7 linked regions of the Ovis aries genome follow. The protein of the gene in region 7 interacts with the protein of the main gene of each other region in a pairwise test. Links are inferred from orthologs where the notes say so. Each region holds a gene or a part of one and is shown on either strand. Other genes may lie near its edges. The genes, in order: RAD23A, HOXA9, NEDD9, METTL17, PPP1R16A, ABI2 and TRIP6.

Evidence for each region.
Region 1: the proteins of TRIP6 (region 7) and RAD23A interact in binary tests that used the Homo sapiens proteins (3 or more experiments, as listed by UniProt). The two-hybrid records come from large-scale screens. The link is inferred for Ovis aries from reciprocal best matches to the Homo sapiens genes TRIP6 and RAD23A.
Region 2: the proteins of TRIP6 (region 7) and HOXA9 interact in binary tests that used the Homo sapiens proteins (3 or more experiments, as listed by UniProt). The two-hybrid records come from large-scale screens. The link is inferred for Ovis aries from reciprocal best matches to the Homo sapiens genes TRIP6 and HOXA9.
Region 3: the proteins of TRIP6 (region 7) and NEDD9 interact in binary tests that used the Homo sapiens proteins (3 or more experiments, as listed by UniProt). The link is inferred for Ovis aries from reciprocal best matches to the Homo sapiens genes TRIP6 and NEDD9.
Region 4: the proteins of TRIP6 (region 7) and METTL17 interact in binary tests that used the Homo sapiens proteins (3 or more experiments, as listed by UniProt). The link is inferred for Ovis aries from reciprocal best matches to the Homo sapiens genes TRIP6 and METTL17.
Region 5: the proteins of TRIP6 (region 7) and PPP1R16A interact in binary tests that used the Homo sapiens proteins (3 or more experiments, as listed by UniProt). The two-hybrid records come from large-scale screens. The link is inferred for Ovis aries from reciprocal best matches to the Homo sapiens genes TRIP6 and PPP1R16A.
Region 6: the proteins of TRIP6 (region 7) and ABI2 interact in binary tests that used the Homo sapiens proteins (3 or more experiments, as listed by UniProt). The link is inferred for Ovis aries from reciprocal best matches to the Homo sapiens genes TRIP6 and ABI2.

The regions. Positions count from the first base shown.
Region 1 is NC_056058.1:10,918,096-10,922,310, reverse strand, and holds the start of RAD23A (UV excision repair protein RAD23 homolog A), read left to right. Parts: upstream 1-1,415; 5' UTR 1,416-1,504; coding exon 1,505-1,576; intron 1,577-3,039; coding exon 3,040-3,201; intron 3,202-3,367; coding exon 3,368-3,549; intron 3,550-3,688; coding exon 3,689-3,744; intron 3,745-3,876; coding exon 3,877-4,004; intron 4,005-4,215. UniProt on the Homo sapiens protein: Multiubiquitin chain receptor involved in modulation of proteasomal degradation. Binds to 'Lys-48'-linked polyubiquitin chains in a length-dependent manner and with a lower affinity to 'Lys-63'-linked polyubiquitin chains.
Region 2 is NC_056057.1:70,456,191-70,460,136, forward strand, and holds the start of HOXA9 (homeobox protein Hox-A9), read left to right. Parts: upstream 1-1,139; 5' UTR 1,140-1,222; coding exon 1,223-1,802; intron 1,803-2,888; coding exon 2,889-3,127; 3' UTR 3,128-3,946. UniProt on the Homo sapiens protein: Sequence-specific transcription factor which is part of a developmental regulatory system that provides cells with specific positional identities on the anterior-posterior axis.
Region 3 is NC_056073.1:44,062,541-44,066,757, forward strand, and holds the start of NEDD9 (enhancer of filamentation 1), read left to right. Parts: upstream 1-1,412; 5' UTR 1,413-1,624; intron 1,625-4,217. UniProt on the Homo sapiens protein: Scaffolding protein which plays a central coordinating role for tyrosine-kinase-based signaling related to cell adhesion. As a focal adhesion protein, plays a role in embryonic fibroblast migration.
Region 4 is NC_056060.1:24,452,296-24,456,282, reverse strand, and holds the start of METTL17 (methyltransferase-like protein 17, mitochondrial), read left to right. Parts: upstream 1-1,183; 5' UTR 1,184-1,214; coding exon 1,215-1,295; intron 1,296-1,439; coding exon 1,440-1,593; intron 1,594-1,679; coding exon 1,680-1,814; intron 1,815-2,491; coding exon 2,492-2,570; intron 2,571-2,824; coding exon 2,825-2,906; intron 2,907-3,219; coding exon 3,220-3,293; intron 3,294-3,751; coding exon 3,752-3,846; intron 3,847-3,987. UniProt on the Homo sapiens protein: Mitochondrial ribosome (mitoribosome) assembly factor. Binds at the interface of the head and body domains of the mitochondrial small ribosomal subunit (mt-SSU), occluding the mRNA channel and preventing compaction of the head domain towards the body.
Region 5 is NC_056062.1:13,409,809-13,413,287, reverse strand, and holds part of PPP1R16A (protein phosphatase 1 regulatory subunit 16A), read left to right. Parts: intron 1-1,273; 5' UTR 1,274-2,021; coding exon 2,022-2,250; intron 2,251-3,311; coding exon 3,312-3,382; intron 3,383-3,458; coding exon 3,459-3,479. UniProt on the Homo sapiens protein: Inhibits protein phosphatase 1 activity toward phosphorylase, myosin light chain and myosin substrates.
Region 6 is NC_056055.1:205,328,495-205,332,483, forward strand, and holds the start of ABI2 (abl interactor 2), read left to right. Parts: upstream 1-1,179; 5' UTR 1,180-1,217; coding exon 1,218-1,334; intron 1,335-3,989. UniProt on the Homo sapiens protein: Regulator of actin cytoskeleton dynamics underlying cell motility and adhesion. Functions as a component of the WAVE complex, which activates actin nucleating machinery Arp2/3 to drive lamellipodia formation.
Region 7 is NC_056077.1:36,218,555-36,222,501, forward strand, and holds the start of TRIP6 (thyroid receptor-interacting protein 6), read right to left. Parts: upstream 2,809-3,947; 5' UTR 2,691-2,808; coding exon 2,582-2,690; intron 2,331-2,581; coding exon 2,203-2,330; intron 2,113-2,202; coding exon 1,987-2,112; intron 1,734-1,986; coding exon 1,347-1,733; intron 1,027-1,346; coding exon 933-1,026; intron 826-932; coding exon 656-825; intron 1-655. Other genes in the region: SLC12A9 (solute carrier family 12 member 9), read right to left, coding at 3,589-3,947. UniProt on the Homo sapiens protein: Relays signals from the cell surface to the nucleus to weaken adherens junction and promote actin cytoskeleton reorganization and cell invasiveness. Involved in lysophosphatidic acid-induced cell adhesion and migration.

The sequences.
Region 1 (4,215 bases), on a different chromosome or scaffold from region 7:
GAGGTGGGGTTTGAACCCACACCTTAGCCACCAATTCATGTGAACTCTTTCACATTGAACCACATACACATCTCTTGCTGGTGAAGGAGCAAGACTACACATCTATTAGCTTTAAACACATTTTCTGACTACTAGCCAGTGTTAAAAGCTGTTAATTCCTTTTATAGTCAGGGAAATAGATTCAGAGATGTGATCTACCCCAATGGCCTTCACTGGCCAAGTCAGGGTTTGAACTCTTGAAGGGAAAGAGGTGGCCCCAAGGGAGGGAGTGAAAGTGTCAGAAGAGCCTGTGGGCCTGTAAGACTGGCATAGGCCCACTTGGTTGCGCCCCACAAGGCTGCCATTAATGTCCAGCGGGTGGTTGGGAACTGATGTCTAACTGCAGGAGAGGGAAGAGAATTCCTCACCCTAGTCTGACCTAGGCTTGTGAAAGCTGACTAGCACAGGATATGCTGTGAAGGGAGAAGCTGCAGGACCTGGTAATAGTTGGGTAAGGAGTGAGGCGGCAGGCCACAGCCTGGTGTTTTCTCATGTGAATGGTAAGAAGAGCTGGTTAGCTGGCAGGTAATGGTCAGTTCAGGATGGGGGTAGGGTGGAAAGTCCACCCACTAAATGGAAGACAAGTACATCACCTCCATCCTGTTTGCCAAAGCACCTTCAGCTTTGGCTAACCAACCCTTCTACTCTTTGTTCCATGGGCCTAGCCCCACCCTTCTGGGAGGCCTCCAGAATTGGCATATCCGGGGAAAGTTTTAAGGAGAGAATTTTGTGTTTAGTGTACCTTGAACGTTACATCTTCCTCAAGTACTCAGATGGAGTATTTGATGGAGTCAGATGGAGATAGTTGGGTGAACAAAGTGATCAGGGGAGGAGCAGCAGAGGGAGGGAGCTGTTAAGATTCATTCTGAAAATCCAGCACTTCCTTTAGGCATTAATGAGGCCACAGAATGGCATTGTGTCCCCACGTCCATGGTCAATTTCCGTGTTTAACTGTTGGTGACCTTTCAAGTATCCTTTCTAGTTCTTTCAGGGCTTGATAGGCTTCCTGTCAGGTGGCCAGACCAGAGTAAGGCTCATTTGGAACGAGCAAAAAGACATTAAGATTTTGTGGAAGAAATGAAAATTTAGCAAGTACATTGCTTGTTAAACGTCAACAAACTCATGGGCGTGAAACTGGGGGTCTCGGAGCCATTTTGTGGCCTATGACGTCACCGCTAACGGGCATGGCGTCACTCGCAGGAAGCCACTTGATGGTAGAGCAAGAAGTACCCCTTCCCTCACGGAATAGAATTTAGTCTGCGCATGCTTTGCTCGAGGCCGCGCTCGTGCGCATGCTCGCGATGGCCAAGGGGGCGCGCTCATGTCACGTGTTGTGGTGGTCGGCGCGCGCACTGCCTGCCCCGGAAGCTGTCGGCGTGCGGCGCGGCTGGGCGCTAAGATGGCGGCGGCGTGAGTTGCATGTCGTGTGAGGATTCCGGGGCCTCCGTGTCGCTCGGGTCCCACCATGGCCGTCACGATCACGCTCAAAACACTGCAGCAGCAGACCTTCAAGATCCGCATGGAGCCTGATGAGACGGTGCGAGCCAGGCCGGAGCTCCGGAGCGGGAGCGACGGGTGCAGCGGGTGGGGTGGGGGCGGGGAGGCCGGGATCCCGACGACAGAGGCGGGGAAGACGGCGCAGGGTCGCGCCCTGCCCATTCTCCCTACAGGCCTGACTTTCCCAGATACCCTGATGGTCCCCGGCTCTGCCCCTGGTGGCTCGGGCGGCGCTCTTGGGTCGATCTCCAGGCGAAGCCCCACCTCCGGGGCTCCCGCCAGGTCCTGGCTCCAATGTCAGCTCCCTCGCGGGGCGCGGGATCCGCAGGCTCAGATTGCCGGCCGGGCTGCTTTCTCTGGAATGGGTCCTCCGAGTTCCCACTTTTGTAGGCTTTGCCTCGGGACCTTGGTGGCCAAATCTGGGAGTAGTGATCAGGAGATGCCGGGTGATGACAGCAACTATGATGATAATGATAATAAACGGTCTGAGTTTCAGTGGTCCGTGTTTGTTTTTCACTAGTCGCTGAGCGTTTTCATGATGTTTTACTAACTCTGCAAAGTAGGCTTGTCATTTGGGCACTCTTGCGTGTCCTCACTTAACAGATGTGGAAACTTTGAGCTTGAAGAACTTTGCTATAGTCGCATATGCATACAGCAAGGCGTGGCGGAGCTGATTTCAATTCGGATTTGCCTCAAGTCTCGAGAGCCCACGGTCTAAAGATGATGCGGTGCTTTTGACCGGAAAGTGACTTAGGACCTAAAAAACGTGTATTTGGCACTTTTTGCACAATTTCCCCTATGAGGGAGATATTGAAGTTCATTTTTTGTAAAAAGGAAACAAACTCAGATTATTTTGACCAATCCAGCTGTTTGGGCAAGTTAGGTAATCTCTGTGCCTCTATTTTTCTCAAATATAAAATAAGGATATGGAGCTTGCTTCCTGGTGCAGTGGCTGAGACTGCACTTTCAATACAGGGGGCCTGGGTTCAATCCCTGGTTAGGGAGCTAGATCCCATATGCCAAAACTAAGATCCTATGCAGCCAAATAAGTAAGTAACTTTTAAACAATACAAAATGAGGCTCATAGTACCTATTCCACTCAGTTACTACAAGGCTTTAAACCTGTGACGTATACATTTATTAATAGCACTATCAAACGATTCTCAGTAAACACCACTGTCAGCAACCTTAGGTCTCCCCTTTATTTTGAATTGCATTTCATCATGTTTACATCATTTGAAATATGTATTCGTTTTTTTATTCTCCCACATGAGTGTCCTCTATGAGAACAGGGACACGTGTTGAGTCTTTGTGCTCTGTCCTCTGCCTAAAACTGCACCTGGCACACATTCAGTGTTCAGTAAAGATGTCATTGAATAGTAGAATGGTCTAGTGTGCTTGATTAGGAAGCCTAGCAATTCGGCCATCAGGGCTTGCAGCCTGCCCCCAAACTAGAAGAGAGAATCGGGGGGGTTTGCAATGATCATCTACCCCTTCCTCCAGGTGAAGGTGCTAAAGGAGAAGATAGAAGCTGAGAAGGGTCGTGATGCTTTCCCCGTGGCTGGACAGAAACTCATCTATGCTGGCAAGATCCTGAGTGACGATGTCCCTATCAGGGACTATCGCATTGACGAGAAGAACTTTGTGGTCGTCATGGTGACCAAGGTGGGTGATGTCTGCTGGTTCGGAGGGTGGGTGGATTGGCTGGGGAACTGGCAAACAGCCTGTGCCGAAGAGAGATTAGCCATGGACAGGGCGGGGCGGAGCTGTGGAGGGTTGTCGGGGCTAGATAGGGGAACTGATGCCTGCTCCCTTTTTCTGGGTGTCATAGGCCAAAACCAGCCCAGGCACCTCAGTACCTTCAGAGGCCTCACCCACTGCCACCCCGGAGTCTTCCACATCCTTCCCGTCAGCCCCTGCCTCAGGCATGTCCCACCCCCCACCTACTGCCAGAGAAGACAAAAGCCCATCGGAGGAATCTGCCCCCACGACGTCCCCGGAGTCTGTGTCAGGGTAAGGCAAGGAGCCGCAGCCCCAGTTTGGGCCCTGTCTTCCCTGCCCCTTTCAGTGCCCACTGTCATGGTTCCACACACCTGGGGGGAGGGCAAGCCGCCAGAAGCCAGGGTCCGATTTCTCTCTCTTGAATTTGCAGCTCTGTTCCCTCTTCAGGTAGCAGCGGGCGAGAGGAAGACGCGGCCTCCACGCTAGGTGGGTGGGTGGTCCCCCAATTGAAAATGGCTGGATGCCCCAGGCATCAGCTGGCCTCCTGTGGGCATGGGAGGGCCGGGAAGCTGCCCTTCCTTCTCCTCGGTGACCCAGCCTTTGCTGCTCCCTCCACAGTGACGGGCTCTGAATATGAGACAATGCTGACGGAGATCATGTCCATGGGCTACGAGCGAGAGCGGGTCGTGGCCGCCCTGAGAGCCAGCTACAACAACCCCCACCGAGCCGTGGAGTATCTACTCACGGTGAGGTGGGGCTGCTGCCTCTCGGGGGGTTCTCAAGGGAGCATGCGGACTTCGGTGCTCTGAAGGGTGGTCAAAATCTGTCCCCCAAAACCTTTGGGTTAGGGTTCTAGCCAGGAAAGAACTCCTGCAGGAGCCGGGACGAGAGCGGTGGGGTGGGCCTGGGAGGGCAGAGCGGAGGCCTCCTGTGTCTCCCACCAGGGCTGAGTATGCA
Region 2 (3,946 bases), on a different chromosome or scaffold from region 7:
ATTGATCCTGCTTCGTGTTTTTTCGCAGTTCGGGTTCCGGGAATGCGACGAGGCTTGCAGAGCTCAGCATTAGGGCCTCCAAGGTCGGCACACACGGCTGGGACGCCTATTGGGTCCGCCCGGGGTGTGAATAGCGATTCCGGCGGACCGCGAGCGGGGCGCGCTGGTCGTGCGTGTACGCGGGGATGGAGCCGAGCGCGCGGCACAATCAGGTCCTCAAATCCGTGGCCCCAGGGTAGACTGGCCACTCTCTCCCTGGCCGCTCCTCGGTGGGGCCCTCGCTGGAGGCTCAGCAGCGATTTGGGGAGCTGCCCGGGCGCCCTGCGCTCCAGTCGGGCAGATGCCGGAGGGGAGTTCACAATTGGTGCTGGCTTCTCGGTGGCCTGTCCCTGTCCAGCGCGCTCCGGCAGAGGTGGTGGTGGCTCAGTCTGGGATGGATACTGCGTTGAATTTGACTTTTCTCGACCAGCCCCGGGTAAACTCGCATCTCTAGGGACCGCAAGGATTATTTACAGGGAGCTCGCCAACCAAACACAACAGTCTAATTTAACCTTTCCAAGTCCTCGTAAATTTTTACAGCTGCGAGTCACGAGGAGCCAAACGAATCTGTTGGTCGTTCCCAACTTCCCACCAGCCTGTGTGGCTTCTGAACAATAACTCCTTATGAAATATCATAAATATAGATTTAAATACAGTAGAGCGAGAATGCGATTTGGCTGCCTTTTTATGGCTTCAATTATTGTCTAATTTTATGTGAGGGGCTCTGCTGGCCGCACTCGCGCGCGGGACCCGCGTCTTGCTGATGGCGTGATTAATTGTGATATAAAATAGTCCGCTTAAGAAGTGTGTGTCTGGAGGTGGCGGGGGGGGGGGGGAGGGAGTACAGAGGCAAGGCCAGATTTGATCTTTTAATCTTCGTTGGCCACAATTAAAACAAACCCGATCGCGGAGCGCCACGATCCCTTTGCATAAAAACATATGGCTTTTGCTATAAAAATTATGACTGCAAAACACCGGGCCATTAATAGCGTGCGGAGTGATTTACGCGTTATTGTTCTGCCGGGCGGGCACGTGACGCGCGCGGCCAATGGGGGCGCGGGCGCCGGCAACTTATTAGGTGACTGTACTCCCCCCCCCCTGGTGCCACCAAGTTGTTACATGAAATCTGCAGTTTCATAATTTCCGCGGGTCGGGCCTGGCCGGCCAGGCGCGGGGCACGGAGATGGCCACCACCGGGGCCCTTGGCAACTACTACGTGGACTCATTTCTGCTGGGCGCCGATGCCGCGGATGAGCTGGGCGCGGGCCGCTACGCGCCGGGAGCCTTGGGCCAGCCCCCCAGGCAGGCCGCGGCGCTGGCCGAGCACCCCGACTTCAGCCCTTGCAGCTTCCAGTCCAAGGCGGCTGTGTTTGGCGCCTCGTGGAACCCGGTGCACGCGGCGGGCGCCAACACGGTGCCCGCGGCCGTGTATCATCACCATCACCACCACCCCTACGTGCACCCCCAGGCGCCCGTGGCGGCGGCGGCGCCGGACGGCAGGTACATGCGCTCCTGGCTGGAGCCCACGCCCGGCGCGCTCTCCTTCGCGGGCTTGCCCTCCAGCCGGCCTTATGGCATTAAACCTGAACCGCTGTCGGCCAGAAGGGGTGACTGTCCCACGCTTGACACTCACACTTTGTCCCTGACTGACTATGCTTGTGGTTCTCCTCCAGTTGATAGAGAAAAACAGCCCAGCGAAGGCGCCTTCTCCGAAAACAATCCTGAGAATGAGAGCGGCGGAGACAAGCCCCCCATCGATCCCAGTAAGTGTCTCCTCCTTCCAGGCCGGCCACCGCCTCCACGCCGGCCACCCGGATCTGCCGGCCCTCCAGCTTTCTCCGGAGCCTGAATTCGCCTTCGCTGGGAGCCTCCTGAGCAAAGGCCGGGAGCCAGAAGTTGCTGTTTGGGAAGCCTCCTCGGATGGGGCCCCCCAAGTCCAGAAAGCAGTGACAAGCCGGCCTGCCGGGCTTCGGGGGAGGGGAGGCGGCGGCTGCCTAGAGAGGGGGCGGGGCAGGCGCTGCAGGACGACCCGAGACCTGGTGACCCTCTCCTTGGCTTGCCCGGGACCAAGACAGAGATACTCTGGGCGAGATTCTTCGAAAGCGACGCGTCAGAGAAAGCCTTTTGTGCGGCTAGATTGTCCGGGAGCGGCGGTAGCAACTGCAGCCCGGGCAGCCTGACCCGGGACTCTGGGGAAGACGGCCGATTCTCTCCACTTCTTGCTTCAGCCAGTGGCGGCGTAAACCCTGCCTAAGATGCGGCTGCAGGCGACCGGGACGCGAGAGTCCCCGTGCTAGATTTTTCAAATAAACTGGAGAAGTGATCTACGGCCTTGGGGTGCCTAGGGGCGCCATACCGGCCTGGCCAGCTCCCACAGCCTTCCAGGGAGGTCAAAATAAGGAATGGGGAGAGTAGATGGAAAGGTGGGAAGGAAAGAGAGTCAGTGAGAGGGAGAATAGAATATTAAGCTTGCTAAGGAACGCATGGCAGCGTGGTTTCCTCCCGTGTGACAAGAAAGAGACCTGTTTGCAAATTTCACTTCTTGCACAACGTGTGGAGAGTGGGAGGAAACAGAGGAGGGGGAAGGAGGACAGAGGAGGAGAAAGAAGGGTCTGGGTGGGATGGGGGGGGGGGAGCCGAGGTTTACAGGCGTGCAATTGTAAGTGACCGTCCCTGCGTCTGTCTGCCAGGGTTCCATTGTATCCGAGGCTCGGCTGCCCTCCCTAACCAGTTCAGCAGCGTCCTGCACTTTGGCTGAAGACCCCAGGACTTTTCCTAGCCCCCAGCGGAGAGGGGTGGGTGTGCTTATTCACCTCCTAAATCCCCCAATCTCTGTCCCCCACCCGCAGGTAACCCGGCTGCCAACTGGCTCCACGCTCGCTCCACGCGGAAGAAACGCTGCCCCTATACAAAACACCAAACGCTGGAACTGGAGAAGGAATTTCTGTTCAACATGTACCTCACCCGGGACCGCAGGTACGAGGTGGCCCGACTGCTCAACCTTACGGAGAGGCAGGTCAAGATCTGGTTCCAGAACCGCAGGATGAAAATGAAGAAAATCAACAAGGACCGAGCGAAAGACGAGTGATGCGACTCGAGTTCGTTTAGAAAAGAGAGAGTGAGCTAGAGAGAATTGCCCGTCCCCTTCTACCCCCATCCCACCCCACCCCACCCCAGCCTCCACCTAGGCCTCCAACAAGGCGGTTGGATACTCCAGGCCTCAAGTCCTAGGCAAACCCTGTTCAGGCTGGTTCCTTGGCCTGCCAGTTTGATGGAGGAGGTATTGTAAGCTTTCCATTTTCTATAAGATTTAAAAAAAAAGGCAGGGGCATTAGCGATGATGGTTCTATGTGCTAGCTTGTATATATTAAAAAAAAAAAAATCTACCTGTTCCTGACTTAAACAAAAAAACTACCTTTTTATAATGCACAACTATTGACGGCGGGCTGTATAGTTTTTAGACTGTGTGTAGTTAATTTAATTTGCTGTTTGTGCGGCAGAGCAATCTGCCCAGATACTTGAATACTGTGTTTTATTGTGGTAATTATGTTTTGTGACTCAAACTTCTGTGATGGGTGATGCACCCGTTGTGATTGTGAAAGCTAGAATTCGATTTGAACTCAGGTTGTTTATGAGGGGAGAAAGCAGTTGCATAGAGTATAGCTCTGTAGTGGAATATGTCTTCTGTGTAACTAGGCTGTTAACCTTTGATTGTAAACTAGCTGTAAGGATTTCCCAGTGACATAAAATTTTAAAACAAAAAACGAAAGCATTCTCCGGGATGCATAGATTCATGGTTTTCTCCATTTTTGAAATGCGGACATTTTAGTTTCTACATGCTCTCTAGATCTATCTTGTCCATTGTATATATATAATCCACATATTAAAGAAAAAGTGAACAAGCTTG
Region 3 (4,217 bases), on a different chromosome or scaffold from region 7:
CCCGTGAACTGTAGCCTGCCAGGCTTCTCTGTCCGTGGAATTCTCCAGGCAAGAATACTGGCGTGGGTTGCCATTCCTTTCTCCAGAGGATCTTCCTGACCCAGGAATTGAACTCTGATCTCTTGCATTGCAGGCAGATTCTTTACAATTTGAGCTGCAGAGAAATCCTTCAGCCATATATAAATAATAAGAAAAAAATTGAAGTGAGACAGGTAGGGGGCTTTGTACATGGTTAATGGATGCTCTATGTCTTTCCCTCCGTGTTTTGTTTGATCCTGCTTCCCAGGTGGCGCTAGTGGTAAAGAACCCAACTGCCAATGCAGGAGACCTAAGAGGCCTGAATTCGATCCTTGGGTTCGATCCAGGGAAGAGCCCCTGGAGGAGGGCATGGCAGCCCACTCCAATATTCTTGCCTAGAGAATCCCATGGACAAAGGAGCCTGGTGGGCTACAATCCATAGGGTTGCAAAGAGTCAGACATGACTGAAGCAACTTAGCACGCAGCACCAACAGCAAAGGTTGGCAGAGAGTGTGTTGAGAGTGGATTAGTCACTTTGCTACATGTTGGCATGGTGTTGACTGTGAGCTGTTCTGTGACTGAGGCTGTAAGAGATAAGCATTTAAGAATGGTGAGGTGCTATTCTAAGAAAATATCTGTAAGGTCCTGAGTAATGTGCCTCATTGTTGGGACAGCAAGTATTTGTTTACAGTAATTCTCAAGGGTTAGTGGAGATTATCTTGCTGAGCCCCAAGGAAGTTCTAGGAAATTCGACTTAAAATCAAGTCTGGTGCTGCATCACGGTTTTTTCAAATCAAAATTTACAATAAATATAGATATTTTCCATCCCTTCATATAATGCAATTCAGCAGTAAAGGTGCTGGCAGCAAAGAAATATCGGAAGTGTGGCCCTGGGAATTTTCCCAAAGGCTATTTTTAAAAAATAGGACATTTTGATGAACAACAATGATAATTAAAATGAAAAATCTGTCAGTGCACTACGGGGAACAAAATCTCAACCAGCTATAAAGTTATTCTAGCTAACATTTGTATCATTATTTATGCCATCTAAACATAAAGCAAGGATTTGCAGGAGTTCTACAAAAATTCCAAAAGCATTATACCCGCTATTCATGGAGAATGGCAAATTTGCTTTGGTTCATTTGCCTTTTATCCCTCACTGTTCTAAAAGAGAACAGATATTACATTGTTGAGCTCTATAGCAGTTGTGATCAACAGAAAAAAGAACAAACATCTTTAATTGTTCACAAAGCAACAGATAATTCCCACAACAGACACTGCTTCTGACAACCGCATATTTAAGGCAGAGGAAAAATAGACTGTGTACATACCATGGGGTTATTCCCTAAAAGTCTAGTCAGCATGACTTGCATTCGGGGGAAAGTCCACTAGACATAATCTAAGCCAGACCGCATCAGTGCATGTTTGTCCCCTGCTCTTCCATTAGCACGGAGTGAAATTTCACAGCTAAAATGTCTGCATCAGCTTCTGAAGGAAGAGAGTCCGTATTCCTCACTGTGACCTTGATTCCCTGATGAACCTCAGCAATACTGGTGATTGCTCTTCCCCCGCTATGCCCATCTTATTATCAGTGATAATGGAAGAGGTGAGTCTCTCACTTTCCTATTTCTTTCCGGTGACACTCTCGCCATCTCCAGCACCTATTTTTGCTGTGTTTTCAAAAAGATGGATGTGTCAGTTGCCGTTGTCTCAAAGCATTTTCTCAGAACTGCCTGGCCAGAAAATCCTCTGCACGCCAGAAGGAGAAAAGAGACCTTTTGAGATATTTGTCAGCTTCATTAACCCAGACATGTGCTTTATAAAAATGGAACTTCCGATAAAGATTTTAGGCACTCTTCGACCTTATTCTCTGCATAATTTAAGGATAAAAAAATCTTATTCTTTGCCTTCTTCTTCTGCATCAGCGTTCCGAGGATTGCTATAGGTTTCCTTCCTTTGTGTTTGTTCCAGTTCAGAATTTTACCATTTCCTTTTTCTGTTTGTATTTCTGATTTCATGATCACTCCATTATTTTATTCATCTTCAGTGTCCCCATGTGGGTTGTTCGTATGACTGGTGACATCAATGACTGCTGGCATAGCATAATCTCAAAGAACTCTCTCATAAGTACTCGTTTTACAAGCCATCAGTTACTTAAGGCATTTGGCAATAATGTTTGCTTAGCAGATCAAGTGGTTTATCTTCTAAGTCGTGTATCTTACATTTCTTTGCCGAATTCTGGCTTCTGTCTAGATCTTGCAGGAACCTGAAGAAAGTCACATGGGGCTGCATCAACTTCCTTGTTCAGTTGGGGACAGTCTGATGATGTCGCCCACCAGCTAACCTGTTCTTCCCTTCCCTCCCCGCAGTGTGTGTGCCTGTTGGGGGAGGGAAAAGGAAACCAGACTAGGTAGCCAGTTGGAAACGACCGGTGTTTTTATTTTCTTTCTTTTTTTTTTTAAATGACTGTGTCAGATTTAGTACCAGGGTCTAGCTGACCTCATAGAACACATTGCAAAGCGTTTCCTCATCTTCTGTTTTGGAAAACATTTATGTAAGTTTGATACCTTTTCTTACCTTAATGTTTAAAAGAGTTCACCAGTGATACCATCTGACCCTGATGTATTTAAGGAAAGAGTTCAATCACAAATTCAGTTTACTTAATAAATGCATTTTCAGCAATATTTCCTATTTCTTGTTGTGTCTGTTTTGGTAAGTTGCATTGTTTAGGAATTTCATCTAGCTGTTGAATTTATTAACATCAAATTGTTAATAATATATGTAGCATCTGTAGTATATTCACACATTTATTCCTGGTGTTAGTGGTTTTTCTTATTTTTTTCTTGATTAGCCTATGTAGGGCTTAAGTATCAGTTGTTCAATCTTGTCTCTTTGTGACCGCATGAACTGTAGCCTCCAGGCGCCCCTTTCCATGGGATTTCCCAGGCAAGAATACTGGAGCTGGTTGCCCTTTTCTTCTCCAGGGGATCTTCCTGACCCAGGAATCAAACCTGGCTTTCCTGAACTGCAGGCAGATTCTTTACCATCCGAACCATCAGGGAAACCCATGTGGGGGGTTTCAAATTTGTTATTCTTTCAAAAGGAAAAAAATGTTTTGTGTTAATTTTCTCTGTCATTTATGTTTTCTGTTTCATTGGTTCCTTTTCTTTACTATTTCCTTCATTCTATATACTTTGGATTTATTTACCTTTCTCCACTTACAATGAGGTTATGTCCCAATAAACCCATTGTGAGTTGAATATATCATAGAACTCCTCTGTAGTAATTCCTCACAGGAATTAAAAAACATTTACTTAGTTATATTCAAAACAATATATATTTTCTTTTGAGTTTTTTAATTAAGAAAAAGAAGAGCAACTCCTGATATGACTCAGAAGCAACCGCGAAATCAGATTTCAATTCATGTAACCTATCCCTTGGTCAAAATAGTAAGTGATACCAAAGAAATATCTGTGTGTCAACACATTTGATTATGCACTGCTTTTCTTTTGAAAATAGAAAATCTCAGGTGTCAGCATATCAAACAGGAACTACAAAAATGTTCTCCATTAGGTTTTGGACAGGTAACATTCATTTGCTTTTAAACATGTTATAAAAGCTGAAGGTTTTACTATATAAATCTTGTGGTGGCAATTTGTACCACCCACCAGTTTTAGAGGCTCCATGAATGATTAAAAAGAGTTTCACGTCTTTGTGAGGCGTCTTAGGAACCTAATGATTTATTTGTGTTCCAACTGCTGCCTTTTCTCCCTTTTGTGTCTTGACAATTCTTATCATACATTCCTTACTGGTGATTTAGTAGACACAGTGAGCAGATCTTAACTTTAAAATTATACAGCTCCCTTATTTAAAGCTGCAGGCTATCTGTTCCAATGTCATTTTGCTTCTTTAGCAAACTTTCACTGATACCTTGTTATATACCAGATACTGTTCGGAACTGGGGGCCCCAAGAAGCATTGTCCCTTTTTTTTTTTTTCATGCGTTTATAGTCTAGTGGGCATCAGAGAAATAATTGTAGTAAGTTTTCTAATAGAGAAATGTTCGAGCTGCAAGGGGAGGCAACCCAGGCAGTCTTCAAAGGAAGAGATGACATTTCAGTGTGATATTAGGAGTATGCAAAATGTTATAGCTCAGTAAATTGAACCCTTATGATTTTTGCATTTAAATGTATGTAAATT
Region 4 (3,987 bases), on a different chromosome or scaffold from region 7:
GATGTAGATGGCGGTGGTGGTTTAGTTGCTAAGTCGTGTCTGACTCTTGCAACCCCATGGACAGTAGCCTCCCAGGCTTCTCTGTCCATGGGATTCTCCAGGCAAGAATACTGGAGTGGGTTGCCATTCCCTTCTCCAAGGTATCTTCCCAACCCAGGAATCGAGCCCAGGTCTCCTGCATTGCAGGCAGATTCTTTACCAACTGAGCTACCAGGGAAGCCCCCAGATAGAAAGTACCAATTTGTCATCAGCACTTGACAAATTGGCACTTGCTAACTTGCATTCTATGTACCAATACTACCAGCAGAGCATATGTTTAAAGGTGAAGATCAGACTTAGATTGCCAAGGTTTAGAACTTGTTCTCACCTAACAAGCTCTTGGATCTCAAGCGGAATATTTAGCCACCTGAACTTTCACTTTCCTTGGGTGCAAAATCTATCCTTTAGAAGTATGGGGACTAAATAAGGTAGTACCATATAACAGCGCTTGCCACACTACCTGTCACATAAGGTTCTCATGGTAGCTATTTACCTGGCTTAAAAGTACTGGTTTAATATTAAGAGAAACTAACAAGTAAGAAACATTAAATCTATTATCTATTATTCCATCAATTTGGTCGCCTAAATCTGGCTTCCCTTGATCATCTTCCCATTACTGCAGTCTCTCCTGGAGAAGGAAATGGCAACCCACTCCAGTACTCTTGCCTGGAGAATCCCATGGAGGGAGGAGCCTGGTAGGCTACAGTCCATGGGGTCGCAAAGAGTCGGACACGACTGAGCGACTATACTTTACTCCATTTCACACAGGAGGTAAAAACTCTAAGACTTCAGTGTTCTCCAGAAGGTGAAAGAAAGAACACTGGTAGTTAATACAAACACAAATCCTTCGCCGTCCTGTGACGCGTTTCTGGCGAACCCAGCATAGGGTCAGCCCATACCTACCTAACCCCGCCCCTCCAATTTCTGGAGGCGGAGACAAATCACAACGCAGGGTGGAAGTCACCTAGCTTCCGGCTAGCTACGCTGGAATTGAGGTGCACAAACGGCCTCCAAGGCGATTTACAGATCGATTGTTTATTGGCTACTAGCAAGCACTCGCTCTCCGCATTGGCTGTTACTGCCCGGCGCCAATGTTCGCGCAGGATGTTCGCTGCAGCTAGTGAGAGTGACAGACACTGCACCTAAATTTCCGGTTCCGGTTCACCGCTGGCGCCATGGCGACCGTTAGAGGGTCGCGGTATCTGCTGACAATAGGCAGATGGCGCCGCAGCTTTGGAATAGCGCCCCAGTTCCGAGTGAGTACCTATTTTCCCTGCTTTCAAAAGAAGCTTTGGACCTCAAGAACAGCTCCTCTCCGAGGAGGTGCGCTTTCGGCAGCTCCTCCTTTAGCCTCCCGCAGCCATCCTCTGTGCCCCCTATTAGCTTTCCTTTTTCTGCAGGCGCTTGCTGCCCTCGTGCCCGGCGTATCCCACGTGGATAACAAGTCCGATTTCCTGGGGAAGAGGCCCCATCGCCGGCACCCTGGCATCCTGCAGCTGTCATGCGTGCGGCTGCCGCAAGGATTGGCTGAAGCCGCGCAGTTACTGCTGCTAGGTGAGTAAAGATGGGAAATGGAAGCTCAAGAAGCGAAGATTGGACCCTGCGTACAAGTGATTCCTCTTTGCATCTTTGGTCCATAGAGAGCTCGATGCCCAATATGGAGAAACAGGTGCAAGCCCTAACCAATTATCTCTGGAGCCGGCATTTACCTGTAGAGCCAGAGGAGCTACAAAGACGGGCTGTTCTTCTTGAGAAAAAAATCCTGGAAAACGCAGGTAGGTCTTTTCAAAAATAAAGAGTAAGCCAAATAGAAAGAGCAGAGGGAAATGAAGAGCTAGTAATAATTCTGCAGCCTCTTAAATAGATACTGCGATTTCTTATTTGACTTTCTAATCAGAGTAGTTATTCATAATGTTGCCTTTCTAAAAGAAGAAAAGTAATTTCAGAGATTGCCTATTAAATTCAGGGCTTTAGTAAAGATCAATGAGTTATTCCCTGACTTCTTGTAGTACCTGGTTTGTAGTAGGCACTCCGTAGGTAAAATAGTACTGAAGTGAACACAATTGTAAGACAAGTTTTTCAAGCCCCTTTCCTTCCTATAGGAACTTTGGAGACATCACATTATTAAATTGGGGGGAAGTGAAGAAATCTACAAAGTACTGTCTATCCTATCCTTTAACTTTTTATTACACTTGCTTTTAATACAGAACAAAACCTGTGAGATAGAGTTGGTTGAATTGAATGAATTGCTGTTAGAGGCAATATATTATCTGATATACTATGGTGGTGGTGGTCATTATTATTCTTACCTGAAACTCTTCTCTAGTTTGGCTTCTCTCTTAAGCATTTTCCATGTGGGAATTGGTAGGGAATGGCAGGCAGTAAATTCAGATATTGTATCTGAGCCCTGTTCTTCCTAGGTCCTTACTTCCAGTGCTTGTTCTTACCCCAGACTCATGTCAGACAGAGAAACATCATGAAGAAGTCCTGCGTGCCTTGCGCAGAACTACCTATCATTGGCAAGAATTGAGGTAAGGGAGACTAGAAGGGCTGCAGAAGAAGGAAAAGTTTGGCTTTTGAGAAGGAGAGTTGGGGAAATACAATTACACCATTTAGTGTGTGAAAAGGCAATCTGGTTTATAAGCCTCCCTAAGACTTGTCTGTGTTGATCAGTGAAAGGGTTGAGCTGGAAGAGCCCTTTGCAAAGATTTCATTTCCTAAAAGTCTGGAGGGTAGCTGCAGGATAGAGATTAATTCCCAGTGGTATGTCTGATTTTTCTGGCAGCTACAATGAGGGACTGAGCCTGGTGTATATGGCAGCAAGACTGGATGGTGGCTTTGCAGCAGTTTCCAGAGCTTTCCATGAGGTGAAATTCCCTCAACTTCCAACCAGAAACTTTACTATCAGTTCCCTTTTTCATAAAGTAATCTGGGGCAAGATTCTTGGGACATTACATGTGCATTTTTTTCGAGAGGTTGTCTTTATCCTCTGAAAGGAATTTTTGACCCAAAAAAAGGTTTAGAATCACTGTTCTAAGACCTTTCTATTCTATAAGGCATTTACACTGAATCTTGACATTCACAGCTCATTTCCTCTGTTGCGGTCCCCTAATTCATGTTTACCAAGACCCTAAATAAGTGTCTGTCTTCCCCACTGTGGGGTATTGAATATTTCTTCAGATCCAAGCTCGCCTTCCAGACTTCCAGCCACAAACCTTGATGGACTTTGGCTCGGGTACTGGCTCTGTCACCTGGTGAGTATCTTTCTCTGTCTCTGTCAGTTCCAACTCTAGAGAGTTAGAGCTAGCTTATGCCACGTCAATATCAAGACACTGGAGAACCAAAGGAAGAAGAGAAAATTGGAACTGATGTGTTTCTTCCCTCAGATTAGACAAGGCATGAGAAGGTATATAAATTAGGGTCAGAACTTAAAGAAATGTCAAGTGAAAAAACCCACATTTAGAAGGATAAAAAAGGAAAGGAATTTGATCTCGGACAGGGATTTACATGTCAGCAAGATTTTTGTGTGTGTGTTCATATAGTTTTTGAGTCTTCTTAACAGTTGTAGATGAAACAAGAAAATAAGATTGCTAGTTTTTCCAACTATTTTAACATAGCGCTCTGTTTCCTCAAGGTTGGGTTAGGGACAGAGGGGTCTCTTGTAGGAATAACTTTGTCGTAAGAACTGAAGATTTATTTTTTGCCACTTTAGGGCTGCTCATAGTACTTGGGGTCAGAGCCTACGTGAGTATATGTGCGTGGACAGCTCAGCTGCCATGTTGGAATTGGCAGAAAAGCTGCTGAAAGGTGAGGACAAAATGTAAGGAAGGGCTTTTCCAAAGTTGAAGGCATTTGCAAAGCAAAGGAGTACCAGAAAGGGTCTTTTACTGGGGAGTAGAGGAGAGGCCGGAAAGTTAAAGATGGGTCTGATGCGATGACCCTGTTGAA
Region 5 (3,479 bases), on a different chromosome or scaffold from region 7:
CGGCCTTGCTCCTTCCTTATGGTCTTGTGGGGCAAGCTCTTCAGGCTGGGTTCGCTGGCAGGCCCCAAGGCCAACTCCAGAGAGATGCACGTCCCACATGTGGGTAGGAGGGGGTGCCCAGTCTCTCCAAGGGAACATGAGGGACCTGTGAGTGGCCATCAGGGAGGCAGAAAGCCCTGCCACACCTGGGTCTGGCCGGGGCCTCATGGGTGGGGAGCAGGCAGAGGCAGGACACGGAGCCCTGGGAGACCCAGGCAGGCAGTCTGGGCAGCTTCTGTGCCGGCCTTGCAGTCGGCAGAGCAGGCCAGCAGGGGGTGGGCTGCCCGGAGCAGGGGTGCTACCTGGAGAGCTCTTTCCTGGCCTCACTGGTCCCCCATCCTGTCCCCAGGAAGCCTCTGAGGCCAGGCTTGCAGAGGGGTTGTGGAGTGCCAGCCACATCCAGGGCCAGGCAGACCCGAGAAGCAAGGCTCTGGGTACACTGGGGGTCCGCAGGCTGGAGAGGCCTGACCTGACCTGATCTGGCCCAGGACGGTTTCCTTCCAGAAGGAATGGGCACTCACTAGTACAAGTCTGGTCAAAGGAAGGCTGGTCAGTCTCTAGATGGCCATGAGGTCTGTCCGAGTGGGAAGGGGGACTCCAGGTGGTCAGGCTGAGCTGCAGGGGGCACCTTCTAGGTGGAGCCTGGCCACGGCCTCCTGAGCAGTGTCCTGAGGCTGTGCCCAGTGATCACCCCAGGCGTGCTGGGCGGGACAGTCCATGGTGGGGACTGTGGGGCTGTGCCACAGCCTAGCTGCTTGCCTGACTGTCTGTCCTGACAGCTCCAGGTCAGGCAGGCCACTGCACCCATGTTCACACAAGCAGGGCTTGCATGTAGCCCAGGACAGTTGAGGGGGCATTGAATGGCCTGAACTAGAAAGCCTGGCAAGGAAGAGGCCCAGACTCGAGCGGTGAGCAGCCCATGGCCAGGACAGGCCGTGCCCTCCACTCTCTGCAGCTGAGCAGGGTGGCTTGGGCACCCTCAGGAAGCTGGCAGAGCTGCAGGAGAAAGTGAGCTTGCCTAACCCAGCCCGAGGGCACATGGGTCAAGGGCTGACGTGGGGTCTTGAGGGGCCGCCCGGCTGGAGGCCTGCTCTTTTCTCTGAGCTGCAGAGAAATGCTGAGTGTGGGGCCAGAATGCGGGCCGCACAAGGTTCTCTGTGGGCAGGTCGGGGCTCTGGGGGGGCGCTGGCCTGTCCCCGTCCAGCCCTGACGGCTTCCTGCTTCCTCCTCTCAGGCCAGCGGGAGGGAGTACCTGCGTGTGCAACTCGGCCACTGGCTACTCCAAAGGGGGCCCTTCCTGAAGACACAGTTCCCGGGCCCTGGGTGCCCTGCCTGCCTAGAGAGCATCAGCCTCGGGTACTGGGGGCCAGGCCCCCCGGACTCTGGACACACACCCGCCCAACCCTCCCTCCTGCTGCACCTCCTCTTAGCACTGACCCCCGGAAGGCTGGAGGTGCTGGGGGTCGGTGGGGGAGGAAGGCCTGGCCATGGGTGCCCCGGGACCCCACCTGGTCTCCTAAGACTGGAAGGCAAGGGCTCCCAGGGGTGTCTGCCCTGCCCTGCCCTGCCCCTGTGTGAGGAGGCGGGAGCTGCAGCCTTGTCATCTGGGTGATTAGCTTCAGACCCTGGACTGACGCTGGCCAAGTCCCGCCTGCTTCCTGCAGGGTGTCCTCCTGACCCAACGCGGGAGGGAGGCCCTGCCCATCGAGCGGCCAAGGTGCTCAGGCCCCGGGAGGCGGGCTGCAGGTGCCGTCCCGCGCTGCCTTTCTGCCTGGGGCCCGTGGCCCTCACACCTGCCCGGGCCTGGTCACAGCTTGAGGCCTCCTAACCCAGCCTTGCCAGGCACAGAGGCCACGAACCTCAGGAGGGGATGCCCCCGAGGGCTCCAGTCCAGCCGGCTGCCCCCCACCTCAGGCCCAGCCTGGCCCCCGTGCTGCCCCAGCCGGTGCCCCCCGCAGGCCCCGTGGCAGGCAGCCCCCACCATGGCCGAGCACCTGGAACTGCTGGCAGAGATGCCCATGGTGGGCAGGATGAGCACACAGGAGCGGCTCAAGCATGCCCAGAAGCGACGGGCCCAGCAGGTGAAGATGTGGGCCCGGGCTGAGAAGGAGGCACAGGGCCGGAGGGCTAGCGGTCAGCCGCAGAAGCGGGTGCTCTTCCCGCCCAGCGTCACCCTCCTCGAGGCGGCTGCCCGGAATGACCTGGAAGAAGGTGAGTGTGGCTGAAGTCCAGTCCGGGCCAGCAGCCCTGTCCCCACTCCTCACGCAGGCCTCAGGAGCCACAGCCCCCTGGTGGGAGCCCAGGGAAGCCTGCCAAGGGCCCTGCTGGGCGAGAGGCCAAGGCGGGGTGGGCTGGGAGCTGCCATCTTCTCTGCCTCTGGCCAGGGTGCTGGGAGTTGCCCATGACGCCTGCCTGCTTGCCTGGGTTCTGAGCCTTCGCCTCCATAAAGGACACATGCAACCCCCCCCCACCCCCCCCCCCGCCGCCAGCAGATTAGACCCAGGGTGCAGGGCTGCCCAGCAGGCCCCCCTCAACACCCGCCCTTAGTTCTGCCTCTGACTTCTTCCTTCCCGGAGGACAGGCTGGGCAGGACTGCCTTCCTGGCACTGCCCTCTGCCCGCTGTCAGCCCCTCTGCCCTCCCAGGGAGGCTCCTGAGGACTCCTTCTGTCTCCTCCCGGGCGGGGCCTCTGCTGTGGCAGCTCGGGTTCAGAGGGCGAGGAGGGGCAGGGTGTGCCCAGAGCAGGGAAAGGGGGCTGGGCATGGCGGCCGTGGGTCAGCCAGCAAACAGGAGCTGTGGGGTGAGGGGGGCAGCTGGGGAGGGCTGGGCCTGGGTACCCTGGGCCTTCAGTCTTGGCCACCGAGGTGCGGTGGGGCGGGCTGCAAGTACCAGGGGAGGGGTGAGTGTGAGTGTGTGAGCGTGTAAGGCTGGGGGAACACGGGACCTGACCGAGGGGTGTCTGAGGGTGCATGCCGGCCCCCAGGCCTGGGGGGCCCTTTCTGGGAGGAGTTGGAGGGCTGGAAGGCCCTAACTGGGAAGGCATTCTGAGGTTGAGGCTGAGGCAGGGCGCTGCTGTCTGTCTATACCCTGCCTGGGGGCCCAGCCCCGAGCCCTCGGCCTGGGCTCTGGGGTCCCTCATGCCTTCCCTGTGCTCCTCTGCTATCCTGGCTACAGCCTGCGACCCAGGTGCCCTGGGCAGGGGCCTGAGCAGGACTTATGGGCCTGCAGCCAACTTCTGCTCCCAAGCCCTGACCGCCTCTGTCCTCCCTGCAGTCCGCCAGTTCCTCGAGAGTGGGGTCAGCCCTGATCTGGCCAATGAGGATGGCCTGACGGCCCTGCATCAGGTCAGCCCCACTGGTGGTGGGAGGGGAGGCTGAGGCTGCGGCGTGGGCTCGGACACTCAGGCTGGGTGCTCCGCAGAGCTGCATCGATGACTTCCGG
Region 6 (3,989 bases), on a different chromosome or scaffold from region 7:
AGGAGGGGCAAAATCACTAGGCGGGCCAAGAGATCACAAATACAAGACTTGAAATAATAGATCTTGCTCTAAACTGCAAAGGCAGTCAGCTTTGACTTTCCATGGTACAAATAAAGGTCATGGACTTTATAATATCTCAGCAGTTGTCAGAAATTTCAGTTTTTAAAAATTACATGTGTGGAGTAGTCAGATTTAGGGGAAAAAAAATATACAATACAGAATAGTAACTGCAAGACCAAAATGGTCTACCTTGAATTTTTGTGGCATTTAACGTTTTCCAAGGTGCTTTCATATAAACTTTTATCCATGTAATAGCCCTGTGAGGAAGGAAAGTACCAGCAAAATCGTTTTTTAAACTTTAAATCCTTAGTAGATGAGGAAAAAAGTTGATAGACTCAGGAAAGTGATAAAAACGATTGTCACTGAAGAGTAGCACAGAGCAAGTGGGAAAAGCTGAAGGCCAGAGGATGGGCAAAGGAGAAAAGAACCGAGGCTAACCTGGCAGGGGAAACTGTTGATTGGCAAACAGGTGCAAAGAAGCTGGAGGGCAGGAAATTTGGGATTAGGAAACTGAAATTTATTTATCCAAAGAGGATGAATACGGTCAAAGATGAGAAAAATTAAAAGTGGGGCGCAGTTAAAGCTGCATGGGAGTTCAGTGGGGCTAATATTATCCCTCAGGCCCACTACCATAAGGTTGGGCCCCAGGTTGAGGATAACGCCGAGGAAAGTCGCTGAAGAAGCGGGCGGGAAGACCGCAGAGCCGGGTGGGCGTTCACGCCGGACTAACAAAGGCCGCGGGGTGCACTGCCCCAGCCACGCATCCTGCGGGGGCCGAAGGGTTAACCGCGAGCTCAACTCCCGCGCGCATCCCGGCCCCCACTCCCGCGGTCGCTAGGAGACGCCGGATGTGGGGGAGGGGCGGGCGGCGCGACCAAGGGTGGGAACCTTTTTCGGGCTCCCGGGGGTGGAGGGAGAGGAGCGCGCGTGCGCGCGCCGGGCCGGCCGTCGCCGCGGTGACCGTCCTCCGAGTCCATCGGCTCGCGCCCCGCCCCCGTTCCCGCTGCCCCCTCCCCTGTCGCGCGCTCAGGGGGTGTTTCTCGCTCCTCCCGGGTTGCCGCCGCCGTCGCCTCGGCTCCTCCTCTCCTAGTCTTGGGTTTCCCTGGCGCTACTGCCGCCGCTGCCTCTGCGGTCTGTATGAGGAGGAGGATGTGAAGATGGCGGAGCTGCAGATGCTGCTGGAGGAGGAAATCCCGGGGGGCCGCCGGGCCCTCTTCGACAGTTACACGAATCTGGAACGGGTGGCCGATTACTGCGAGAACAACTACATCCAGGTGCGACGCATCTGCCGGCCTGGGCGTGTTGGGCCTCTGGCTGCTGAGCGGCGCGTGGGGGACCCCCGGCCCGGGGGCCGCGCCTGGGGGCGTAGGGCACACGGGGCCGAGGCCGCAGCAGGGACACAGTGCAGCTGAGCAGGGGTAGAAGCAGGGTGGGAGCGGGAGAATGGGTGAGAATTCTCCGGTTGGAGGAAATTGTAGCTTTCAAGCATTTTTCAAAAGCCGTGAATCAGTTCTCGGTGCGGGGTGTGTGTGCGTGTGTGTGTCCCCGCCTCCTCTCTTCCCTCGGCCGCCTCCGCAATCGGTGCCGGTCAATTTTCGCGATGGCGGAGGAGGCGGAGAGTGGCATTTTCTATTTGACAGAATCCTACTCCCCCATATGGCAAGGATTTGGGGTTTAATGGGTCGCCCCCAATCTCTGGAGGATTTTTGAGGCGCTATATTGCTGCAAAGTAAAATGCCGTAGCTTTATATTCATTTGAATGTATCAAAAGCTCAGCGTGGTTTTTTTGCCTTGTTTTTAGGTTCTAACTGAGGATACAGTATAAGAGCAGCTGTCCCCCTTGTTGGAAGTTAATGCCAGTTTTCTTCTCTATGGAGAATGAGAAGCTGCATGATAATGGTTTATTCCCTTCTGCCACCCGCCTCCAAGCCCGTTAGAAATAGCTAATTTGCCTGCAGGGAAATTTTTTGTGATTATCTTTCAGAGAGAAATGGGAAATAATTCTCACGGTTTAAATTTTCCGTGATGGTTGGTTTGGCATCGGGACTCAGTGATAGCACTGTATGTTTGTGTATGAAGGCGGGGGGTATTGGGTGAGATGAAATTGAGCCTCTTCTGGAAGAAGCAAGATTATGTGATTAAAAACAATTCTTTTTAAAAAATTATTTGAAAGGATAGTTTAAGATGCACAGTTTGCAAAGTCAGCATCTTTTGTTTTCTTTATAGCTTATTCTGAATCATAGGTTCTACCTCCATCTTTTCCCTTCCCATTTAAATTCTCTTGGGATATAGGTGGAAATGGAAGCAATGTGTTAAATTGTTCCTTCACTATGGCCTTTTTTCCTTCTCCCACCTCCATCTCTCCAGGCATCTTTCCTAACATCAGCTATATTGGGAAGCATTCTCAAGTCTTGGTGTGAACCAAAGAAAAAAAAGGTGTTAAAATTTATAGGTTCATAAATTTTGTAAGGATCATATGGTTAATCAAGGATAGTGTTGTAAGATATTACTTGATTGGACATATCCTGAGCACTATATTTTCTTGTATGGAATATTTGTACTGGAGAATGAATCAGACATAATCCAAGGCTTTTCCCTCCAAAGAGAAAGTTGAAAGTATGGCCAGCAGGAAAAGATAGAGTGTGTCTTGGGTCAAAGGCTCATATAGACAGTACAGATGTCCATATTCATGGGGTGCTTTGCTGATACTGAGTGTGGTAGGAGAGAGTAAAAGGTTGAGATGCTTAGTTTTCACTAAATATATTTGAAAGTGTAATATGGCCTGGCATTGTTAAGAGTTGATAGGTAGCTAGTGTCTACAGAATTTCATTGTATAGTTAGTGGGAAGGCTGATCTTTAGCAGATGAATTCCATTTTGAGCGTCAGTTTATATTCTTAATGGGCTGCAGGTGGGAAGAAGGACTGGAGGAAACTATGCTATCCTCACTCTGGAAATTCAGAGTCTCTAGGAGAGGCAAATTAAAAGGACTGAAGTAGTCGTTACAATTCCTTGTGCAACATATGGGAAAGAGTTACAGGTCTCAGAAGAGAAACAGGGTGGAAAGTGATTGGGTTGCAGTTATCACTGCTAATTTTTTTTAAAAAAGTTCTCTTTGTTTGGAAGATAATTTTTATTGTAATTTGAAGGTATAGTTCCTCTTAGGTTGCAGTTGTTACCTAAAGGTAAAAGTACCTGAGTTGATAAAGCTGAGAGAGTGAAGCGATCAACCATTGTCATCACTATATTCCTTGCGGTTCAAAGGAGAAGAATGTTGCTGCCATCATTTGTCTTAGCGGTGGGACTCAGAATTTAATGCGGTGTTTTAAAATTCAGAATATAAGTGCTGATTAATAGAAATGGATTTGGATTTTAAAATACCTTGTTTCTTCAATTTAGAACCTAAAATAGGTGCTATTAGGATCCAGTGGGTATATTATTGGCGTTCTCTCAACAGATGACAACTCGTACATGATTTGTTTGTAGTAAAGTTGATAAATAGAACATGGTGATAGTGGATTTGTGCTGACTCAGCTGCACATTTGGCTGGCTCTTCCTGTAACCATCGAACTGACCAGCAGGGCTTCTGATGCAGCCTGTGACCCTGCAATAGATGCAAGTCAATTAGTGATCTGATGGTCAGGTTAGCCTTATTATAGCAACATGTCCTAACCACTAGCTCAAGTTAACTTCACCTGACACTCATTTTATTTTGTGCAAGGACAGTTTTTGCCTGTAAAGCAGGAAAAAGACATTTATTGATAGGTAACATGATAAGGTTCTTTGCTCAGCATCCTTAAATGCCTGGTTTTATGCATGAGAATATAAAAATAAGATAATATTCTAAATGTGGATTACATTTAGTGTAAAAATAGAGGAAAGGAAGAAAAATGGTGGTGTCCTTCTGAAAAGGCATACTGTTTAAATTGTG
Region 7 (3,947 bases):
GAGCCCTTACAGGCATCCGGCCAGCCCATCCATCTTATTTCTGTAGCCCCCTGCATGGGATTCAGTGAAAGGTGACCTTGAACAGATCTGAGTACTGACCCCAGCACTGCAGCTTCCTGGACAAGTTATTTAACCTCTCTGAGCTTCATTTTCCTTCAGCAGCAGTAGCTGCTTCACTGGGATATTGTGAGAATTTAGCACCTTCCTATAAATCTAAAATAAATGCCTGGGACTTCACTGGCAGTCCAGTGGTTAAGAATCTGCCCCGCAAGGCAGGGGACATGAGTTCGATCCCTGGTCTGGGAAGATCCCATTCGCCTCAGAACAACTAACCCCATGCACCACAACTACTGAGCCTACACTCTAGAGCCCGTGGTCTGCAACAAGAGAAGCCACCGCAATGAGAAGCCCACGCACCGCAGCTAGAGAAAGCCGGCTGGCAGCAACAAAGTCCCAGCGCAGCCAAAGATAAATAAATGCTTCACACGTATGAGGGAATATCGTCCTTCTTTTCCAGCAGCCAGTGTGGAGCTCCTTACTTCATTCATCCCTTCTTCTCGTTTATCAATGTCAGTTCCCCTGCTTCAAGCCCTATTCCTCTAGTTTCCAACTCATTCTAATTGCATGGAAGCCCTCCTGGGCCCCAACCACTCACCACATAGCAGCTCTCACAATAAGCCCTCCTCTCCACAGCGTAGAAATGCTGGCCCCGGAGCTGGGCCCGGCACGTAGAACACACAAAGCAGCCTACATGGAAGACGCGATCCAGGGCCACGACCCCGGCCCCATCCCCGACCACGTCTTCTCCGCAGCCACCACAGCGGCCTGGGGACAGGAAGGGACAGGGTCAACCCCCTCACAGGCCGGGAAGCCAGATCCGCTGTCCATCTGACTCTGCAGTCCCACCTCCCTGAGGTCGGGGGTCAGCTCACCAAAGTACTCCCCACTGGGCGGGTGGTTCATGTCGTGCACCAGCTTCTTGGTCAGTCTCTCAAGTTCCTCCTCGGGAGGCTGGCTGAGGGGCACCTGGGAGGTGAGACTCAGAGGTTTGACCCTACCTCTAGCTCCCAGTGCTGTCACTGAGGGTCCCCAGGGTGACCAGACCGTTCTACCCAGAAAGCTTATCACAGAACAAGTCCCAGCCCAGGGGCCGGGGGAGCCCCTCTGGCAGCCAGGGTGTAGATCTAGGCCCCTCCGTCTTTTAGTCCTGACCTGCCCCACATCCACAGGGGATCCAGAGCCCCAACATCCCAGACCTCCAACATTAACACTCCTTCCCCTACACCCCACCCAGTCAGCATCCAGTTGTCTTTGATGGACCCGAAATCCCAGGGCCCAGGGCGTACCTGGGACCCGTAGCCGCCTCCTCTTGCACCTGCAGGGCCGGAGACCCCCGGGGCCTCCTCCTTAACCCCCGGCCCTGGCTCGCGGTGGCTCCTGTAGCCAGTCCCCCAGACTTCACCTCGGCCTGGAAGAGGAAAGTGGGGGCCCGGGGAGTGCCCGGAGGCCTGAGAGGCCCCCCGCCTGGGAGGGCCGCAGCCTCTCACAGGCTGTGCCACTTTCACTTGCACAGGAAAGGCCGGGCCGGCGGGGGTGCTGGCTGTAGCATAGGAGGCCGGAGTGGGGCCCCCGTAGGGGGACCCTGGGAGCGGCGGGGGAGGAAGCGCCCCTCCATTCGGCCTCAACGGGCCTGAGCCTGAGCGGTAGGCAGGGGGCTCAGGGGGCTCGTAAGCCTGGGGAGAGACGAAGAGCAGGAGTGAGCTGGGCCCATTTCCAGGACACCCATCTGTAGGAACCCCCCTCCCCCGACCCCTTGAGGCACCCAGGCAAGAACCAGCTTTGACAAGGGCCCGGAGTAAGCATCCCTCACATGGGGCTTGTGGGCGGGTGGGGGGCGTTGGGAATGGGGGGGTGGATTCAGAGTAGGGAACAGGGGAGGGGCGGGGTCAAGGATCGGAAGGGGCAGGGGCAGGACAGGGGAGTCACCTGCCGGTCAGATCGCCTCGGGGCGTGACCTCGACCCCCGTCCAACTCAGCCAGCATGCTGGTCAGGGAGTCTATCTCAGCATCCAGACTTCCCGGGCGCAAGCCCCCCCTGTCTGGGGGGAGGCCCTGGGGAAGGAGCAAAAAGCAAGGAGAAATGCAATCCCACGGTCTCCCCTCCTGCCCTGAATCGCCCCATCCCCCAGCGCCTGTGCTCACCTGCGAGTGCTGGGGTGCTCCATGGCACCCCACCCAGGCCAGCCCCCGGTCCTCTGGTCCCCCGGGGGTCTGGTAACACTGCTCGGATGGGAGGGGGCAAAAATTGACCCGGGGGTGGGGCTGGAGCGCTGGGGTGAGGGAAGAGAGAGCCAAGGTGGGGATGAGGAAGGTCAGGGTGACGACGCCCGTGGAGGCCACCGTCTTGGGTCCCTCTTCGCCCCTCACCCTGCACCTGGGGTCCGAGAATAGGGCCAGGGGCAGGGAGGGCTGGGAGGGGAAGGGGCAGCAGGGGCCTGCTCAGTGGGGCGTGGACGGCGCAAGGCAGAGCCGAGAGCGCTGGTGGCCCGGGGGCCTCTGGGCCTCACTGGGGCTGCCTTACCTGATCCGTGGGCCGGGGGTGGCCCCGAGGCCCCTCGGGGGAGCGCTCTCCCCTGAGGGGCTCGAGCAGGCTCCAGCTGCTTCGGGGGGAGCCAGGTGGGCCCGGACATGGTCTGGAAAGGGGGACTCCAGACAGCCGGTCGGGCCCCACGGAGCCCCGGGGCTCTGACTTGGATCCCTTCTTCCGTCCCACACCTTGCTTGGGACTCCAGGAAAGAAACTTTTTCTGGCTTTTTTTTTTTTCCCCTTCCTCCCTAATTTTGGGGATGGCCACGCCCCCGGTGACATCATCGCATTCCTGGGGGAGGGTCACGTGGCCCCCTAGGCCCTAAACTGCCGTCCCTCCCCGAGTCAGGCCCCCTCCTGCGAGCAGGGAGCGCTTTCCTCGGGAGCCCCGGGAGCCTCGAGTCTTCAGGCTGCCGGCAGCCTGCATCTCCACCAGCACCCCCCCACCCCCAGGCCGGCGCCCCAGGTCCCACACGTGGCCCCCTCCCTGCTCGGAGTCTCTCCAACGCCCCTCTGTCCCCATCCCCCATACAGATTTCTCCCTCTTTCCATCCCACGTACCCACCCCCTCCCCTCTGCTTCCAGAAATGCTCAGCCGGTATTTAGTGTTTTGATCTTTTATTCACATTGAGCAGTTAGAAAAATAAAAGAACAAAAACATCACAACCTCAGGGGTCGGGGGTGGGGGGGTCTGTTGGGCGAGGTGGGGGGCGGAGACTGAGGTAGCCTAGAGTCACAAGCGGAGACCCAGCCCCCGGCAAGGCACGGGTGAAGGGAGGGAGGCCCGAAGGGAGGGCTGTGGACTCCTTCCCCAGGAAGGTGGTGGGGACAGCTGCCCTGCGTTAGTAACTGCACCCAGGGCCAGGAGACCAGGATGCCCTAATACGTCCACCAGGGGCTGAGTCCCACGTGCGAGGCTGGCACAAGACAGCCCTTCCCCTTCTCACCCTCCTCTCACGGTGGGCCGCCGGACCTGGATGCTCTCTCTGCTTGGCATGGGCCTCAGAGATCAGTGCAAGTAACAGGAGTGACACCGTGAATGAGCAGCGCGGGGCCCAGATCGCGGCTCAGAATTTCCAGAAGCGCCAGGTAGCGCAGGTAGCGGGCAGAATCAGCAGGCGGCCGCGGCAGGTACAAGAAGGTGAGGGCAGTGGTGGGCCCCACCTCGCCGCCCCCTTCCTCAGGCCCACCAGGCCCTCCTCTACCACGCCCCTGCTGGGCCCGAACCAGGGCGTTGGCGCTGCATGCCAGGGCCTCTGCCTCAGCGTCTCCCCGCCTGCCGTTCACAAAGTCCCCTTCCTCCTCCTCCTCCGGCTCCTCGGAGGCAGCCCCCTCGCCCCACACCACCTCCCGCACCTCGG